Ovis aries: one gene and its partners. The protein of the gene in region 2 purifies or fractionates together with the protein of the main gene of each other region. This does not show direct contact. Links are inferred from orthologs where the notes say so. Each region holds a gene or a part of one and is shown on either strand. Other genes may lie near its edges. The genes, in order: NFKBIA, REL, TNIP2 and NFKBIB.

Region 1 (4,271 bases), on a different chromosome or scaffold from region 2:
ATCGTAGGGAAGCTAAAAAGAGAAAAAAAGGCATGTTAAACTCGCAGGGCTTTTCCGAGGGTGCTAGGATGATGGGGTGGGCTGTTACTGGAAATAACTCAAGTATTCCTGGACCCCATTCTCTATACACTGAATGTAAATGAATTTCCTGGGCTGAGGGAGTTTTCCTTTAAGGATCCTCCTTCAACAAGAGCCAAAAAAAAAAAAAAAAAAAAGACATGCTCTTGGGATTCTGCTTACACATACTCAAGCTTGAGAGGCTCATTACATTGAGACCCTCAGGATAAGGAGGAACTCTAGGAGCCTTAGAAGGGGGAGGGAGAATGGCCTCTCTCCTTTCTTTTTGCAAAGCCATGAACAAGTTAATTGGGACTCACCTCATCTTCTGTGAACTCTGATTCGGTGTCATAGCTTTCCTCATCCTCGCTCTCTGGCAGTGTCTGAAGGTTCTCTAGGGTCAGCTGGCCCAGCTGCTGCTGTATCCGGGTGCTGGGGCGGCCCCACGTGAGCTGGTACGGGGAGTAGCCCTGGTAGGTGACTCTGTTGACATCAGCCCCACACTTCAACAGGAGTGACACCAGGTCGGGATTCTGCAGGTCCACTGCCAGATGGAGGGCAGTTCGGCCATTGCAGGGCTCCTGGAACCATAAGGAATTCAAGATGCTTATGGCTGAGTTTGGAAGTTCTGCTTGCAGCAAAAGCCCTCGTATTGAGGACCAGGGTGGCCTGATGTACCCCATTTGAAGGTGTGAGGCACTGACCTGAGCGTTGACATCAGCGCCCAAGGACACCAACAGCTCCACGATGCCCAGGTAGCCATGAATAGAGGCCAAGTGCAGACACGTGTGGCCTAGAAGACCAAAAGTAAGACAGTATTATAACTACTTGTTTCAACACTCATTTCTCAAGCAGAAGCTTTCACCTATTCTTTTTTTTTCTTCATTTATTATTTTCAATTGAAGGATAATTACAATATTGTATTGGTTTCTGCCATACATCAACATGGATCAGCCATAGGTATACATATATCCCTATTCTTTTGAAGGATACATTCTTAATTTGAAGAGCTCAGAATCTGGGTTCTGAATGGACTTTAGAAAGGCATCAACTAGGCCTTTATACATGTTTTCTCCATCTTTCATATGTTGAGAGCTTAGGCCTTGCTTGGCCTCCTTAAGTCAGCCTGCCTCCCCCGTGTCCACCTCACCTGCCCTCTGATGGGCAGGACAGCCAGACATACCATTGTAGTTGGTGGCCTGCAGAATGGAGTGGAGCTGCTGGGTTCCCCGGGGCTGAGTCAGGACTCCCACACTGGCCAGGCAGCCCTGCTCACAGGCAAGGTGTAGGGGGGTATTTCCTCGAAAGTCTCGGAGCTCAGGATCACAGCCAGCTTCCAGAAGTGCCTCAGCAATTTCTGGCTGGTTAGTGATCACAGCCAAGTGGAGTGGCGTCTACAAACAGAAGAGGGACAGAAAGGATAAGCCATGGATCCAACCCACCATCTGTGTTCCCTTGAACCCCAGAGATATCTTGGTTGTGGGTGCTGCTTTTCCCAGGCGCATACCAGGGGCAAAGCAAAATACCAGAGGCCCCAGATGGGCTTCATAAAGGCCTTCCCAAATCAATGGAATTTTGTGTTCTAGAATACTGGCTGACACAGGTGTAAAAAATCAGGGCAGATAATGCCCAAACCTTTGTTAATCTAGAAATCATGTGCAAGACCCGGTTTTATCTCGGGGTCAGAGCGGGAGAGAGAGGTACGCGGCGGGAGAGCAGTACCTGCTGCAGGTTGTTCTGGAAGTTGAGGAAGGCCAGGTCTCCCTTCACTTGGCGGACCACTTCCATGGTGAGGGCCTTCTCTTCATGGATGATGGCCAAGTGCAGGAACCTGAGGGGAAGAGAGGGAAAACCCCCAGGGCTGGTGAGTGCACTGCGTGGGGCCCGGGGAGGCGCGGCCCGCGGGGGATTGCGCAAGGCCGGGGTTTCTGGAGGCCGAGGCCGCGGTGTTTTCCGCGAGGTTATTATGAGCTGAGTGTTCCTGGCAGGCGCCCAGGGACTTTCCGGCCCCCCGCCCCCCCCGCGCTCGGCGGCGGGCGCCGGCCAGACCGCCCCGCCCTCTCGCCCGGCCGGAACGCCCTGTACTTCCCCTCCCGGCCGCGCGGCGCCCGCCAGCGGGGCAGAAACTCCCGCCCCCCCCTTATGCAAGCGGGGACTTCGCGTCCCCGCCGCCGCCCCGCCTCCGGCCGAGGGGACCCGCACGGGGGTGTGCGTGCGGGGGGTGCGCGCGGCTGCAACGCAGGGCCGCGGGACCACGGCCCCGGAAACCAGCGCCGACCCCCGACCCGCCCCCCCCGCCCCGGCCCCCGGCCCCGCAGGCAGCCGTGCACCTTTGCACAGCCTCGGGGTCGGTGCACGAACCCCGGTGCGCGGCCGCTGCGCGGGCCCCGCGCCTGGGGCTGCAGGCCCAGCGCCTCCACCCGGCCCTGCCACCCGGGCCCGCGACACTTACGAGTCTCCGTCCTCGGTGAGCTGCTGTTTCCAGGGCTCGGCGCCGCGCGGCGCCTCCTGCGGCTCGAGGCGGATCTCTCGCAGCTCCTTCACCATCTGCTCATACTCCTCGTCCTTCATGGAGTCCAGGCCGCTGTCGTGGCGGTCGTCCAGCAGCCTCTCCTTCTTGAGCGCGTCCCGGGGGCCCTCCATGGCCCAATCTTGGCCGGGCTCGGCAGGCTGGAACATGGCGCGGTGAAGGCTCGGGCGCTGCTCCCCAGTGCACGGGCCGCGGGCTGCGCTGCGCTCTGGCTGCTCTCGGAGTCGCGGGCGAGCGGGACGACGGGCTAGGACTGTTGTGGGCTCGGCAGCGCCGCCGCGGCGCCCTATAAGCGCTGGCAGGGGATTTCTCCGGGGCGGGGTCAGGCGCGGGGAATTTCCAAGCCAGTCAGACCAGAAAAGAGAACTGGCCTCGTCCTCTGCTAGGGGGAAAAAGAAGCCTAAACCCCGCGCCCGAGTTCATCAGAGAAACTCCCTGTGATGAGCCACTGGGGTCATGTACAGGGAACTTTTTGATGAACGCTGAGTGGCTGGAAAGTCCTCCTGACCGGGCCCCCTCCCCGGGTACTTCCCTGCAACCTGCACGCAGTAATCCTGGCCCTCTGCAAGAAGCTCTCTTTCCCTGGGTTTTCCCGATTTGATCGATTTGATTTAGGGTCGTCAGCTGCTGAGATCCCAAAGACGCAGGCCTGCAGGCTGGTTCTTCACTGGGGTTTACCGACCTGCAGGTCTTTTCCGGTTTTTTTTTAAATCTTTTGAAAACGCGAGTGGAAATGTTGGCCGGGTGTAGGGATTCACTTCCCCAAAGCTCTCTGCGGGGAGGACGCACTGGTCGGTGGAAGGTGGCTGCCTCTGCCTTCCTGCCAGTACCAGGCTCTTAGCATTGTAGGCACCGGCTGAATAGCCAGCCCCAGCCCACTCTCCACTCCCACCCCCACCGCCCGACCCCCGGGTAGAAGTTTCTAAAGCTTTTGGCATTAAAAGCCTAAATGATTGCTGCTACTGCTGCTGCTAAGTCGCTTCAGTTGTGTCCGACTCAGTGTGACCCCGAGACAACAGCACACCAGGCTGCCCCATCCCTGGGATTCTCCAGGCAAGAACACTGGAGTGGGTTGCCACTGGGGAACCGTCAAATCATTTCCTTGGGATTATCAATCCTGTTGACTGGAGGAGAGGCAAGCACTCTGCCCTGTATGCAGGAAAACGGTGAAAACAACCATGGTATTTTTCAAGGAAAGCAAGGTATGAGTCTTTGTAGCAGAGGCTGTAAATCCCTTGAAGTAAGGAAATAATTATGGAGGTCGGGTTCCCTGCTCTGCACTGTGCTGCTGCAGGGAACAGACCCTGAGCATACTTCTGGGTCCTCTGCTGGGTGACTTTGCAGAAGCATTTGGGGAAGGTGGCTGAAGAATGGGTAGAGTAGTGCCTTATCCAAGATGAGGCCTTATGGATGGCTAAGAAATTAGCTGCCAGGCATAGTGCAGGAGGCTCAAGGCAGCCCATGGTGCCCTTCATCCTGCCTCTGCTGGCTCCTTGCTCTCCTGCCTGGGAGAGACATGCATGGGACCCATGCTTGCCATATGGGTAGCCACTCCAGGCTCACCACCCTCCTCTCACCTGCAGAAATAGAACCTAGGCTCTCTGCGCCCCCCCCACCTCCTAGTCAATGAGAGGTATGCATTCATCTATTTCTAGAATTGGTCCAAGCAAAATAAAGAAACTTG
Region 2 (4,134 bases):
AAGATGTAATTCCGATTATTTTCCCTTGGGAGAAAGACAACAGGCATTGTAGTTGATTGCATCTATCTGATGATATAAACGAGTGAGATTTCCTTTTTCTCTTTGCGGTCTCTTAAGTGCATCACAATATGGTTTACGGCTTATGCTAATCATAAAACTGTTTCATTGTTTTCTATATTTTGTGGAAAGGATGCTTTGGTTGGGGGTGGTGACAGGAGAGTTTATTTTTAATTATTTCCCAACTGGGGCCTCCAGTTTGGGCACTTGTATGGCTGATAGCTCCCATTGCCCCTCCATACTTATTTTAAACGGTAAAGGAAAGTGGAAAGAGCACGGAGTTCTGGAGTCCGAAACCTTGAGTTTAAACTGTTCTTTCTTACTAGCATTCTGATGTACAGGCAAGTTACTTCTCTGAACCCTGATTGCCTCATCTATAAAATGAGGATAATAATTCATTATAAAGGGGGTAACTAAACTGACACATACAAAATTCTTTATACAGGAAGGAAACAAAAGTTATCCTAGATTCTGATGCTACACGTTCGTCCTTTCCTTGTGAGTCTGTCAAATCCCAATGGGGTGTCCACTTCATTAACTTGGAGCACTGAGTAACGAGGAAACGAACTCACACTGCGGACCTTACTAGCTTGAAAAGTTTTTTAGTTTGTCAAGTACGTTAACAGAGTCCTCACAAAGGAGATGTTGCAAAGGTATATCAGACTGCGGGGGTCCCCGTATGCAAATACCTGAATTACAGGCTCACCGAGGCCGCGGCAGCTTCCGCACTTCCCCTCGAGGGCGCTCCGGGACGCCCGCGCTGCGCCGCCCGCCGGTCCGGGGGCGGAGATTTGCATGTGCGACAGAGGGAAGAGGGGGAACCACCCAACGAAAACCCCGACCGTCGTTCCCCCTAGCCTGGGAGGGGAGGGCCCGCCCCGAAGTGCTCGCGGGAGGGCAGCCGGCCCTTCTCGACGTCACCGCACCCTCCCACCCCTCCTGAACTTTAAGCCACGCGCCCAAGAACATCCTGGAGGAGGGGGATTTCTCGGGGACCGGCGGCTTTCGCACGCTCGGGGCCGTCACTCCCCGGCTCCCAGCGTTCCCTACGTTCCCGGAGAGGCAGCTTCCCCGACCGGTTCCCGAGCCCACCCGGCATTCAGGAGACGGGCGGGTGGGCGGGGCATGGGCGGGACGGGGCCCGGCAGCGGTCGGCGGACGCTCGCGCGCCGGTCGCAGGACGCTCCGCCTCCGCCCCCGCCCCCGCCCCGGGGTACGGAGGTGAGGGATCCTACGTCAGTCTCTGGAAGTCCCCCTCCCGCTGGGCTGTCCGCCTCTCAGGCAGACCTGCTCTCCGCTGTAGCTGCGCTCCGTCTTCTGGCTTCTGCCACCTGGACGAGCGACGCCGGGTGACCGGAGCGCGAGGATTAAGCGGGTGGGAAGGTGTGAGCCGCAAATCCAGAGGAGGGCGGGAAGGAGGAGGAGGAGGAGGCCCGGGGGTGGTCAGGGGGACTGGGGATCCCGCCAGCAGAGGTCCCTGGGCGGCCCGACTGACGGGCTGAGTGACTGTAGCGGCCTCCGGTCCGGACGCTCGGAGCGGGGCGGCGCTGTGAGCGGAGCAATGGCCTCAGGTGAGTGTTCCCGGCGCGGGCTACCGACGGCCGGGCGTGGGCAGGGTCCCGGACAGCGGGGAGCGAAGGAGTGCGTCCGAGGATCTAACTACTCAGGGTTTCGGGGGCCCAGTTTTGGTTATGTCTCATTCTGTTTTTAAAATCGCCTCTGGTAAGTTTGTCAGCCTTTTAAAAGTGACCTGGTTCAGGGTTTGCGTGCGAAATCGAAGTCACGCTCTGTAACTTGATGCCATTGTAATAGCCGGAACCTTAGACCTTCCAGAAGACTTTGTTTTTGGATTAAGGAAGTAATAAGAATCTAAATAAAGGAGGACGAAAGAGTTCCCGTATTTTTAAATTGATTTAAGTTGAAATGGTGGTGTTTCGTTTTAGAATAGGAATGAGGAACCTTCCGGTCTCAGGAGAGCTTATCTTTTTTTAAGTTCAGTTTCATCAGTTGCCAAGAGGTGATCGCAGTTGTGCTGACAGTTGGACAAATGTGACGCGCCTTTAAAAATCACCAGTGGTATTTTAACAAGTCTTAAGTGGAAATGTTGCTTCAACAAGTGGATCATTTTTACTGTAAAGTGCGTACTTTTTAATTTATGGAGCAGAAATCGAGTTTTGTTCTCTTTTGTTGGAAGGAAGGGGAAAAGAGGATTTTTAGGATCCCCGTGCTTTAAAGTAACGGGTGAGAATGAAAACTTTCTGTCACTTACGTGAATACTTATTTGTAGACAGTAAATGCGGGGATCTCTTGCTTTACCTAGAAACTGCTTAAAGGATGCGGGAGGGAGCCTCCCCATCCAGCTGTGGTTTAGGTTAGCCTGCAACCTAAGGGTTACTAAATCAAGTAGGCTGCTTTGGAGTGGGACCTTCACAGGAGTCTGTCACGGTTCTTGGAGGCACCTTCCCTGCAAGAGTGAGCAGAGGCAAGGAGGCCTAAAGTGTGGATTAACGCAGAGGCTGAAGACAACAGGAGGCTGAAGAAGGAGGCTTGTTTATGTTTGACCTGCATCCTCCCAACACCCTGGTTCAGTGACCCACAGTAGAAAACTGAGGACTACCAGAGAAGAGGAAGTAGAAAGCATAAAGGACTTTTTTTTTTTAAAAACAGGGTTGAGCAGAACAAAGAGGTAGCTACTGCTCTAGGCCAAAAAGGAAATTGGGGTGGTTCACATGACATTTGATTTCAGTTTGTCTGTGGTTTTCTGTGAGAATACAAATGTAGTTTAAAATATTTCAACTTTCTCTTTAGCCACTTCAGTGACCCTAAACTTTCAGATAATCTTGTAAATTCATAAATTCAGACCATGTTGAGATTAAAAGTGCAAAGATGATTGAAACACTTGGTTAATTTATTGACTCTCAGAAGGATTTTGTATGAAAGTTAAAGAATGGTTAGCATAATAAAGTAAACAGAAAAATCAGCCTTCTGGTAATTTAACCAAACTTTGTTGATATATGGTGTGAATGTAACACTTGTAATCCATTCAAAAGAGAGAAAGAAGAATTAGCCATTTATATGGACTATTGTAAGACCCACATCATTTAAAAATGTGGTACAATTTAAACTTGTTTAAAACTGACATTTGTTTTTGTCTTAGTGAGAGGACTGATTTCCTAAATTGAGGGGGGAAAATTTTAAAGGGTAATTATCACCCTCCCCTTTTCTGGAATTATATTAAAATGACACTATTTAAAATGTAACAAGTTATTTAAATTGTAATTCTGTTGTTTGAAAACTACTAAGGAAAAATCTGGGTGTACTTTCCTTAATCATTTGTAAAAATCTTAGAGAAAAAGATTCACAAAATTATAAGCTCCCATCCTGTTTTGAAACAGTAATTTAAGCAAAAGAGTAACTGAAAAAAACTTCTGCTTAGTTTACCATTGTCTAGTTTATAGTTTGTAGTACAGAGTATAAAAACCTCAGAAAGTATTTTTATTGATTACCAAGCATTTAAGACTGTTTCTTCATTTCTCACCGGATGTTATATGTAAATAGGTGTCTGTAGTTGAATATATGGTCTGTATAATATGACAGTAACATCATAATCTCATAAATAAAATTATATAAGTACTATGAATAACTGGGACTATATGTATGATTCTAAATTTTGTTCAGTTAAACTGTCATATTTAGGATTTCACAGCTTGAGTTCTATCAAGCTGTCTTGATTACTTTTTTTTTTTAATTACACCTTGATTCCATTCTTTTGACACAGTTAATTAGGATAGGCATTAAAAAGAAGTTCTCAGTCCCATCCAAGGTATACATAAGCAGTCCTTACTCTTGTATATTTATGATTCTAATCTGTTTTAAGGTAAATAAAATTAGCTATTTTTTGGTCTGAATTTAAAGCTTCTCCTTATTCCAGTAGAAGGTGCAAATGTTTTTGTGTGCTTTGTTTACTAATAAATAGTACTGTCTTTGGTAAAATATGTATTCAAATTTAGATAATTTATTTTTACTTACAGTTTTAAAAATTATTATTTTTTAAATTGGAATATAGTTGATTTATAG
Region 3 (4,068 bases), on a different chromosome or scaffold from region 2:
TAATATCAATGGCAAGGATAAGAAAGCAGGAAAGTAAGGATTTAAGTCGGCTTTTAGACACTCCGGCAGCTTCCCACTCTGTCATCACTCCCTGCAGAGCAGAGGTGTTACTACTGAAAGATACATTCACAACTAGGGCTAAAAGAGACCCAGGACATTAGGGTCCACATGGCCCTGAACCCAACACAGCCCCCACACACGAGGAGCCTACAGCCACGCGCTACACACACACCCAGCCCGGTGCCTGCACACACAGCGCAGGACTCCACATGAACACACACACACACACAGAGCCTCTCACGCGCACACACAATCCAGATACAAACAACACCCACACTCATCCCTCAGACCCAACACAGGCACGCACCCCTCAGACCCAACATGGGAGCAGGTCCCTCTGAATTCAGCTGGTACACAACCATCAGAATCAATACCGGCACACGCACAAGCCTCAGAACCATCACAGACAAGACAACCTACAGAATCCAACACACACATACACCTCCCAGAGCCCAAACGAGTGCCCACGCCCCTCAGAACCCAAAACACACACACAGACACACACACCACACAGGACATACACGCTTCAGAAACCAGCAGAGACAAGCACACTCCTCAGACGCATATGGGAATACTCCACCCAGAACCCAGCAAACGCAGACGCCCTTCAGAGCCAGCACGCACAGCCCTCACCCCCAACACAGACAGGCAGACTCCCGAGACAGACACAACACGGACACACAACCCTCAGACCCACCATGAGCACACACCCATCAGACACAACACGGACACACACAACCATCAAAACCCAACATAGGAACAAACCCTTCAGGACAGACTCACAAGCCGCAGACTCCAGGCACACCGCTCAGACACCAGCATGTACAAATACACCTCACAACCAACACAAAGCGGGAAGGAGAGCGGGATGGATTCAGAGCAGCACAGACATCACTGTGTGTAGACAGACAGCCACTGTTTCACGATGGGAAGCTGCTGTATGACACAGCTCCCATTCAACGCTCTGTAACAACCTAGAGAGGGGGATGGGGTGGGGCAGGAGGCAGGGGACATAAGTGTCCCCACGGCTGACTCGCGTGACCTATGGCAGAAGCAATTATCCTCCGATTAAAAATAAACTGTAAACAAGCTAATTAAAAACAATGCAACCACACACTCCTTAGAATTCATATGGGCGCACGTAACCCTCAGACACAACACAGGCACACAGCCCTCACCACAGCCAGGGACCATCACCCTTCAGAACCCACCACGGGCGCAGACACACCCCCAGACTCTGCACAGGCGCACACACACATCTCAGACCCAGTAGGGGTAAACACACCCAGCACCCCAAACCCACACACACACCACTCAGAGCTGCTACAGACACACAGCCTCTAGAATCGATAGGAGCACCAACACCTCTCAGAACGGAGCCCGGGGAGACACAGTCCTCAGCCCCAACATGGGAGCAGATAACGAGCCTGACACACACCCGAGAGCCAGCAGCGACGCAACAACCCTCAGATCTAAGAGGCACACAACCTCTCCGAGCAGAATCCTCCAGAACCCAACACAGAAACACACACTCCTCAAAACCAGCACAGACACACGTACCCTTCAGGACCAAAATGGGCGGATCCCAACAGGGGCAAGCCTCAGAACCACACAGACACACACATCCCTCAGAAGCCAACCAGGGAGCAGACGGCTCAGCACAACCGAACGTACAAACCCTCAGAACCACACAACCCTTAAGAGGAGCGCAGATCCCATAGAGCCCACGCGCCGCGCAAGCACACCACAACATGGGCACACACACTCCTCAGAACCTTCGGGACACACAACCGCCAGACTCAGCAAAGCCACACACACCCCCCAGAAGCCAACGCACACTCACCTGAGAAATGACACGCACACACACACACACACACACAGCACGAAGCACCCAACATGGTCGCAACCACCCCTCAGACCCGACGCTGGGACAGACACGCCCCTCAGGCCCCACAGGGTAACGCCGCACACACACCAACACGCACACAGCCCTCAGACCCACCTCGACATCCATCCCATATCGTCAGAGAGGACAAACCCCTCCCAACCGACAGGGTCACACGGCCCCCAGACTAACTGGCACACACACCTCTCAGAACCTGAGGGAGCGAGACACACTCCTTCAGACGCAGCAAGGCTCAGACGCCTCAAAAGCCAGCACACGCACGCACAGCCCCTGAGCCAAGGCGCACACGCACGGCAGAGCCCGGCTCGACGCTCAGCCCTTACACCCCTCGCGGCGCGCACCGCCCAGAACCCCACACGCAGCGGCTCCGCCGCGGCAGACCACGCACGCCTCACGCCCGACGGGCACACGCGCCCCCGGGAGCCCCCGGGAAGCCCCCGGGAAGCCCGGCCCCGCCGCCCCGCACCTGGCGCAGCGCGGCCTCCGCGGCGCCGCCGTCCCGCTGCCGCAGCTGCTCCCGGAAGCGCGCCACCTGCTCCAGCAGCGCGTCCACGAGCGACGGCGCCGTGTCCCCCTCGAGCGCGGCGAGCCGGGCGCGGAGGCGCGCGATGAGGGCGTCCCGGGCCGCCAGCTGGTCTTGCAGGCGCTTCAGCCGCTGCCCCGCCTCGTGGTACAGGCCGCAAAGCGCGGCAGCCGCGCTCGGGGCGCCCTCCCGCCCCCCGGACTCCGCATCCCCGGACGACATGGCTGCGGACCCGTCCCGGAGGCGCGGACCGCCGGCAACTTCCGTGCCGGGTCTGGGCCGGGGGAGCAGTGGGGCGGCCCACCTTCCCGGAACTTTTCCCGGCGCGCCCCGCCCTCCGCGGAGATCCCGGGCCCGCCCCGCGCCGAGAGGCTGGCCCCGCCCCCCGCGGACAGCGTGCTCCCGCCCCCGCCGAGAGGCTGGCCCCGCCCCCCGCGGACAGCGTGCCCCCGCCCCCGCCGAGAGGCTGGCCCCGCCCCCCGCGGACAGCGTGCTCCCGCCCCCGCCGAGAGGCTGGCCCCGCCCCCCGCAGACGGCGTGCCCCCGCCCTCGCCGAGCCGCAAGACCCCGCCCCCACGGACAGCGTGCCCCCGCCCTCGCCGAGCCGCAAGACCCCGCCCCCACGGAGAGCCTGACCCGCCTCCCGCCGAGCCGGCAGGCCCCGCCCCGCGGGCAGCTGGGTCCCGCCCTCGCCGAGCCGCCAGGCCCCGCCCCCGAGGAGATCTGGACCCTGCCTGCCGCGCGGACCTTGGCCACGCAGGGTCCCCACCCGCCCGGGTCCTGCGGCCGCTCCACCCGCGGTTCCTGGCCTGTCCCAGCAGCCTCATCGGCTCGTGTCGCGGGAGCTTTCAGCGAGTCAGGCGCGGACAAGGAGAGGGGTCAAACGGCCTCTATTTCGCTCCTGACGGAAGGAAAAGAAGTGGCCAGAGAGACGACCCCGAGTGTTAGCCCCGAGCGTGGGCCCGGACCCCTGGGCTGCAGGCCGGCTGCCACGCCGAGCACCGGGAAAAGGGCGGCCTTCCAGGAACTGAGCCCGGCGAGGTACCCAGCCCACCAGCGAGATTCCAGAGCCCGCATCCCCTCTCCGAGGTGTAAGAACTGCTCTTAGGGTAGAAGGCAGGAGGGAGCTGGCCCTTTCCTGCCCTGTTTCTCCATCCGCTCCATCTGCCGGCTCCCAGGCCGACTCCGAGGGTTTTCCCATGGCTCCACGGCTGTTTACTTTTTCAGACTCCGAGTGTCCTCCACTGTAATGCCCAAGCACACCTGTGGTCTTTCGAAGGTTCCCTGGCACACCCTTCTCTGCCCCCGTCCCTGGGTCCCCTGAGAGCAGCGTGGCGTTTTTTCCCCCTCTACATAATCCATACCCGAGCTTGGGCTGAGCCCAGGGAAGACACTCACAAGCTGGTATAATCAGAATTATAAGTGTAGCCAGCTCACACCTCCTCCGCTGCAGAGAGGTCAAGGCTGGCTGCCCCCACCCCTCAGGTGTGTTGTGGAGACTGGGGGACGCAGTACAGGGTGCCTGTGCCCACACGCCCGCAGGCCGCGTGGTTAGGGCTCGGAGACATTCCTGTCTGTG
Region 4 (4,118 bases), on a different chromosome or scaffold from region 2:
ATCTCACCTGAGCCTCCTGCACCTTCCCTGCCTGGGTCTCCTCAGGGTCAGAGGCTGGGGGAGGAGGGGGAGCAGACGTGGTTACAGTGAAGGGATTGGTTAAGGGGGAATGAAGGGCTTCTAAGTCGGGGTAGAGAGGGGCAACAAGACCTCCAACCTAGTTATATGGGGTGGGGGTATCAAAAGGGAGTAGATGGAGGGAGGGAAAGGAAGAAAAGCAGATCTTATTAGAGTGGAGAGTGCTGGGAGGAGAGGTGGTTGGTGAAGGACAAAGAGGCTGGGACATGGAGGCTTAGGAAAGCGAAAAGAAAGTAAAGCATATAAGGGCATGAAGGAAGACTTAGGAGGAGTTAGGAAGGACACAGTAGTGTGTGAGTGTGTGCTGGGAGGGTTAGGTTTACAAGCAGAAGAAAATGTAGAAAGAAAGAGAAGATAAGGGATACTGGGGCTGGAGGCAAGTTTGCAAGAAGAGGTGGTGGGGGCGGAACGGAAGGGCGAGATGGCAGGTTTACAAGAGGAAGGAAGAGATAGGAGGGGACACCAGGGGTCCCCAGCACCCTACAGTTCCCACTAACAACCAGGTACCCTTAGCAACCCGGACAGCGGTATTCTAAGTCCCTAGTAACAAGGGTCCTTAGCAACTAAGGTGCGAGACACACGCTATCATTAGTCACTTAGGGGAAGTGGCAAACGGACCCTTAAAACCTCGAGACCCAGAAACCCACCAATCTATCCAGCAATATATATCACAACGGCTCCCTGAACCTCATTCCCCTCCATGCAGCCCCCATCTCCTGCCCCACCACTCCCGCCCTCGGGCCCCGGGGCCTGCAGCCCTCAGCCAGGCCCCGGCGCGGCCCGACCCTCCCACCAGGGCCCCCGACTCACGATCCGGATCGGCCATGGGCGCGGGGCGGGGGCCCTCGGGACTGTCACCGACTGCTCTATCCCGTGACGGCACCGGAAACAGGAGGGGGGCAGAGATAGGTCAAAGAACTACAACTCCCAGGAGGCATAGAAAAACGTCCGGAGCGTGCCCCTCTGAGGTAAGAAGAGACACGCGAGAGCCGGACTACGAATCCCAGAGTGCCTCGCGTCCGCAGCCATGTTGGTAAAGGGCGCGCGGAATGAGTGGGAAAGGGTAGAGAGTCGCAGTCCATCTGAATACTCTGATTGGTCACGGTGTAGTATGAGGGCGGGGCGCTTACTATTTAGCCGACTCTGATTGGATGAGTCCGGGGGGAGTGTTGGGGAATTCCCAGCAGGGCGGAAGCGCCAGAATTCCAGGCAGAGCCCAGCGACTGGCGGGCAGCCGCTGGGGTCCCCTGAGGCTTTGGGGGCTATGGCCGGGGTCGCGTGTTTGGGGAAAGCTGCGGACGCCGATGAATGGTGCGACAGCGGCCTGGGCTCTCTGGGTCCGGACGCGGCGGCCCCTGGAGGACCTGGGCTAGGCGCGGAGCTGGGCCCGGGGCTGTCGTGGGCGCCCCTCGTTTTCGGCTACGTCACTGAGGATGGCGACACGTGAGTGAACCTTAGCCTGCCACACCGAGCCTTAGGATGATCCCACATCTGATTCCCTGTTAGTCCCTGATACTGATTTTCCAACCTCTTAATCCTAAATCTGTCTTCTAATGCTTACTCTGACCTCTAACCCCCGAGTCTAACCCTTGATAAAATCAATTTCCAAGCTAGTTTTTATCATAACCCCGTCCTTTCTGAAACTTTGGCCCTCAGAGTTTCATATCCATTGACTAATTCCACATTCAAAACTCAATTTGAGCTTCCTGACCCCAGTCCTGAGACCTATCTTAAAACTATAGCTCACAGGCTCCTTCTGACATCTCACCTCCAAATATGATCTTTGATCCTTAGCTCCTAATTTAGGAGCTTTAAATTTTGATTTCCAAAATTAACATTTGGCTTTTGACTCTAAGATCTCCCACTTTCTGAGCACTGATCTTCAAATCCTACATTGAAAGAGAAAATGTAAACTCTATGACAGCAAGGATTCATCTGTTAAACAAGTATTTATCTAGCACCTACAGCGTTTCAGGCCCAGTTGTAGATGCTGGTGATAAAGCAGTGAAGAAAGCACAACAACTTATGCCTTGTGGAGCTTACGTTCTAGTGTGGGGGGTCTATAAATGGAAGGGCAGACAGACTGACAGGAAGGAAGAAAGGAACAGTAGGAGAAACAAAAAAGAAAGAGAGAAGGAAAGAAAGAAACAGAGAGCCGTATAGACACAAAGTAAGAAAGAGAGAGGAGAGAGAGAAGAAACAGGCAGAAAAACGAACGAAAGAAAAATGGTGTGTCAGAAGACAGGAATTTCCTTGGTGAAAAATAAAGCAGGAAAGAATGAGACAAGTAGATTATCTGGGGAGAGTATTCCAGGTAGAAGGAACGACGTCATAAAGACCTAATTGAGGGAATGTACCCGGGGTTTTTGTGTGTTGTGTTTACTGCCGTAGCCCCAGTGACAGAACGGTGTTTGACCCATAGGAGGCGCTCAAGAAACACCGGTCTTCCCAGAGAACCAGCTGTGCTTTCATTTATTTTCTCTCGTCTCTTTTTTTGCTTTCTGTTGTGTTTATCTCTGTTTTGACTTTCGTTATTTACTTTCTTCTGCTTACTTTGAGTTTATTTTTGTTCTTTTTCTAGTTTCTTAAGGTGAAAGCTGAGGTCATTGATTTGAGGCCTTCCTATTTTTCTAATATAGGATTCATGTGAATTTCCCGAAGTAGTGCGTGAGCTGTATCTCATCACTTCTAATGTGCTGTGCTTTCATTTCCACTTAATTCAGTATAGTTTCTAATTTCTCCTTTGATTTCTTCTTTGGGCGGTGGATTATTTAGGAGTATGTTATTTAGTTTCCAGATATTCCGAATACCTTCCTTTTATTGGTTTGTAGTTAAATTCTATTGTGTGTGCAGTTGAAAAGAATGTCTGGTATCTTGTTGTTGAGTGTAGTTCTCCAGATGTCAGTTAGAGGTTGTATGGGTTTCTTTTCTAAAACTTTTATTGATTTACTTTTGGCTGTGCTTCGTCTTTCTTGCTGCCCACGGACTTTCTCTAGTTGCGGTGTGAGGGCCTCTCATTTTGGTGGTTTCTCTTGTTGCGGAGCAGTGTCTCTAGGGCACAGGCGCAGTAGTTGCTTCGCGTTGGTTTAGTTTCCCCGAGGCATGTGGGATCTTCCCGGATTAAAGACTGAGCCTGTGTTCCCTACCTTGGCAGGTGGATTCTTTAGCACTAGACCTGTAAGTCCTGTGCTGGTTTCTTTGGTTCTTCTCTTTTCCAAGTCTATTATATCCTTGCTGGTAATTTCTCTCTACTTGATCTATCAGTTACTGAGAGTAAGGTATTGAAATCTTTAATAATAATTGTGGGTTTCCTTGTTGTTTTATCAGGTTTTCCTTCATGAGACTGGATGCTCTGTTATAAGGAGTGCAAATGTTTAGGTTTATTGTGTCCTCTTCCTGAACTGACCTCTTTATCATTGTGAAATAATCTGCACTATCCCAGGTAATATTCCTTGCTCTGAAATCTTACTCTTATTTTAAAACACTCCTACTTACTTTTGACTGACAGGCGTTAGTATGGTATATCTTTTTCCATCTTTTTATTCTTAACTTAGTTTTAAATTTATTTGAAAAGCTGTTACTTGTATAGTTAGGTTTTGCTTTTTAAAAAAAAATGTTTATTTTTAATTTATTTGGCTGCATCGGCTCTAGTTGCAGCATGTGGGATCTTGTTCCCTGACCAGGGATTGAACCCTGGCCCTCTGCATTGGAAGTGCAACGTCTTAACCACTAAACCATCAGGGAAGACCCTAGGTTTTGCTTTTTTATCCACTCTGACAGCTTCTCCTTTTTTAAAATTTGTGTTTATTTAGCTGTTTCTTTTTGGCTGCACTGGGTCTTGGTTGCTGCACACAGGCTTTGTCTAGTTGTGGCGAGCGGGGTATGCTCTCTAGCTGTGCTGTGCAGGCTTCGCATAGTGGTGGTCTCACTTGTTGGGGAGCACGGGCTCTAGAGCACACAGGCAGTTGTGGCACGTGGCGTTAGTTGCCCCACGGCATGTGGAATCTTCCCAGACCAGGGATCAAACCCATGCCCCCTGC

The links.
Region 1: the proteins of REL (region 2) and NFKBIA purify together in Homo sapiens (affinity purification with mass spectrometry; 6 studies listed by BioGRID and IntAct, counting the BioPlex papers as one, with this or other methods). This does not show direct contact. The link is inferred for Ovis aries from reciprocal best matches to the Homo sapiens genes REL and NFKBIA.
Region 3: the proteins of REL (region 2) and TNIP2 purify together in Homo sapiens (affinity purification with mass spectrometry; 3 studies listed by BioGRID and IntAct, counting the BioPlex papers as one, with this or other methods). This does not show direct contact. The link is inferred for Ovis aries from reciprocal best matches to the Homo sapiens genes REL and TNIP2.
Region 4: the proteins of REL (region 2) and NFKBIB purify together in Homo sapiens (affinity purification with mass spectrometry; 7 studies listed by BioGRID and IntAct, counting the BioPlex papers as one, with this or other methods). This does not show direct contact. The link is inferred for Ovis aries from reciprocal best matches to the Homo sapiens genes REL and NFKBIB.

Annotation. Positions count from the first base shown.
Region 1 is NC_056071.1:43,394,524-43,398,794, forward strand, and holds the start of NFKBIA (NF-kappa-B inhibitor alpha), read right to left. Parts: upstream 2,825-4,271; 5' UTR 2,737-2,824; coding exon 2,510-2,736; intron 1,889-2,509; coding exon 1,780-1,888; intron 1,452-1,779; coding exon 1,241-1,451; intron 851-1,240; coding exon 762-850; intron 639-761; coding exon 378-638; intron 13-377; coding exon 1-12. UniProt on the Homo sapiens protein: Inhibits the activity of dimeric NF-kappa-B/REL complexes by trapping REL (RELA/p65 and NFKB1/p50) dimers in the cytoplasm by masking their nuclear localization signals.
Region 2 is NC_056056.1:63,129,150-63,133,283, reverse strand, and holds the start of REL (proto-oncogene c-Rel), read left to right. Parts: upstream 1-1,302; 5' UTR 1,303-1,618; coding exon 1,619-1,628; intron 1,629-4,134. UniProt on the Homo sapiens protein: Proto-oncogene that may play a role in differentiation and lymphopoiesis.
Region 3 is NC_056059.1:116,696,593-116,700,660, reverse strand, and holds the start of TNIP2 (TNFAIP3-interacting protein 2), read right to left. Parts: upstream 2,822-4,068; 5' UTR 2,712-2,821; coding exon 2,433-2,711; intron 1-2,432. UniProt on the Homo sapiens protein: Inhibits NF-kappa-B activation by blocking the interaction of RIPK1 with its downstream effector NEMO/IKBKG.
Region 4 is NC_056067.1:47,982,162-47,986,279, forward strand, and holds the start of NFKBIB (NF-kappa-B inhibitor beta), read left to right. Parts: upstream 1-1,277; 5' UTR 1,278-1,342; coding exon 1,343-1,521; intron 1,522-3,749; exon of another isoform or gene 3,750-3,822; intron 3,823-4,118. Other genes in the region: SIRT2 (NAD-dependent protein deacetylase sirtuin-2), read right to left, coding at 8-54, 889-904. UniProt on the Homo sapiens protein: Inhibits NF-kappa-B by complexing with and trapping it in the cytoplasm.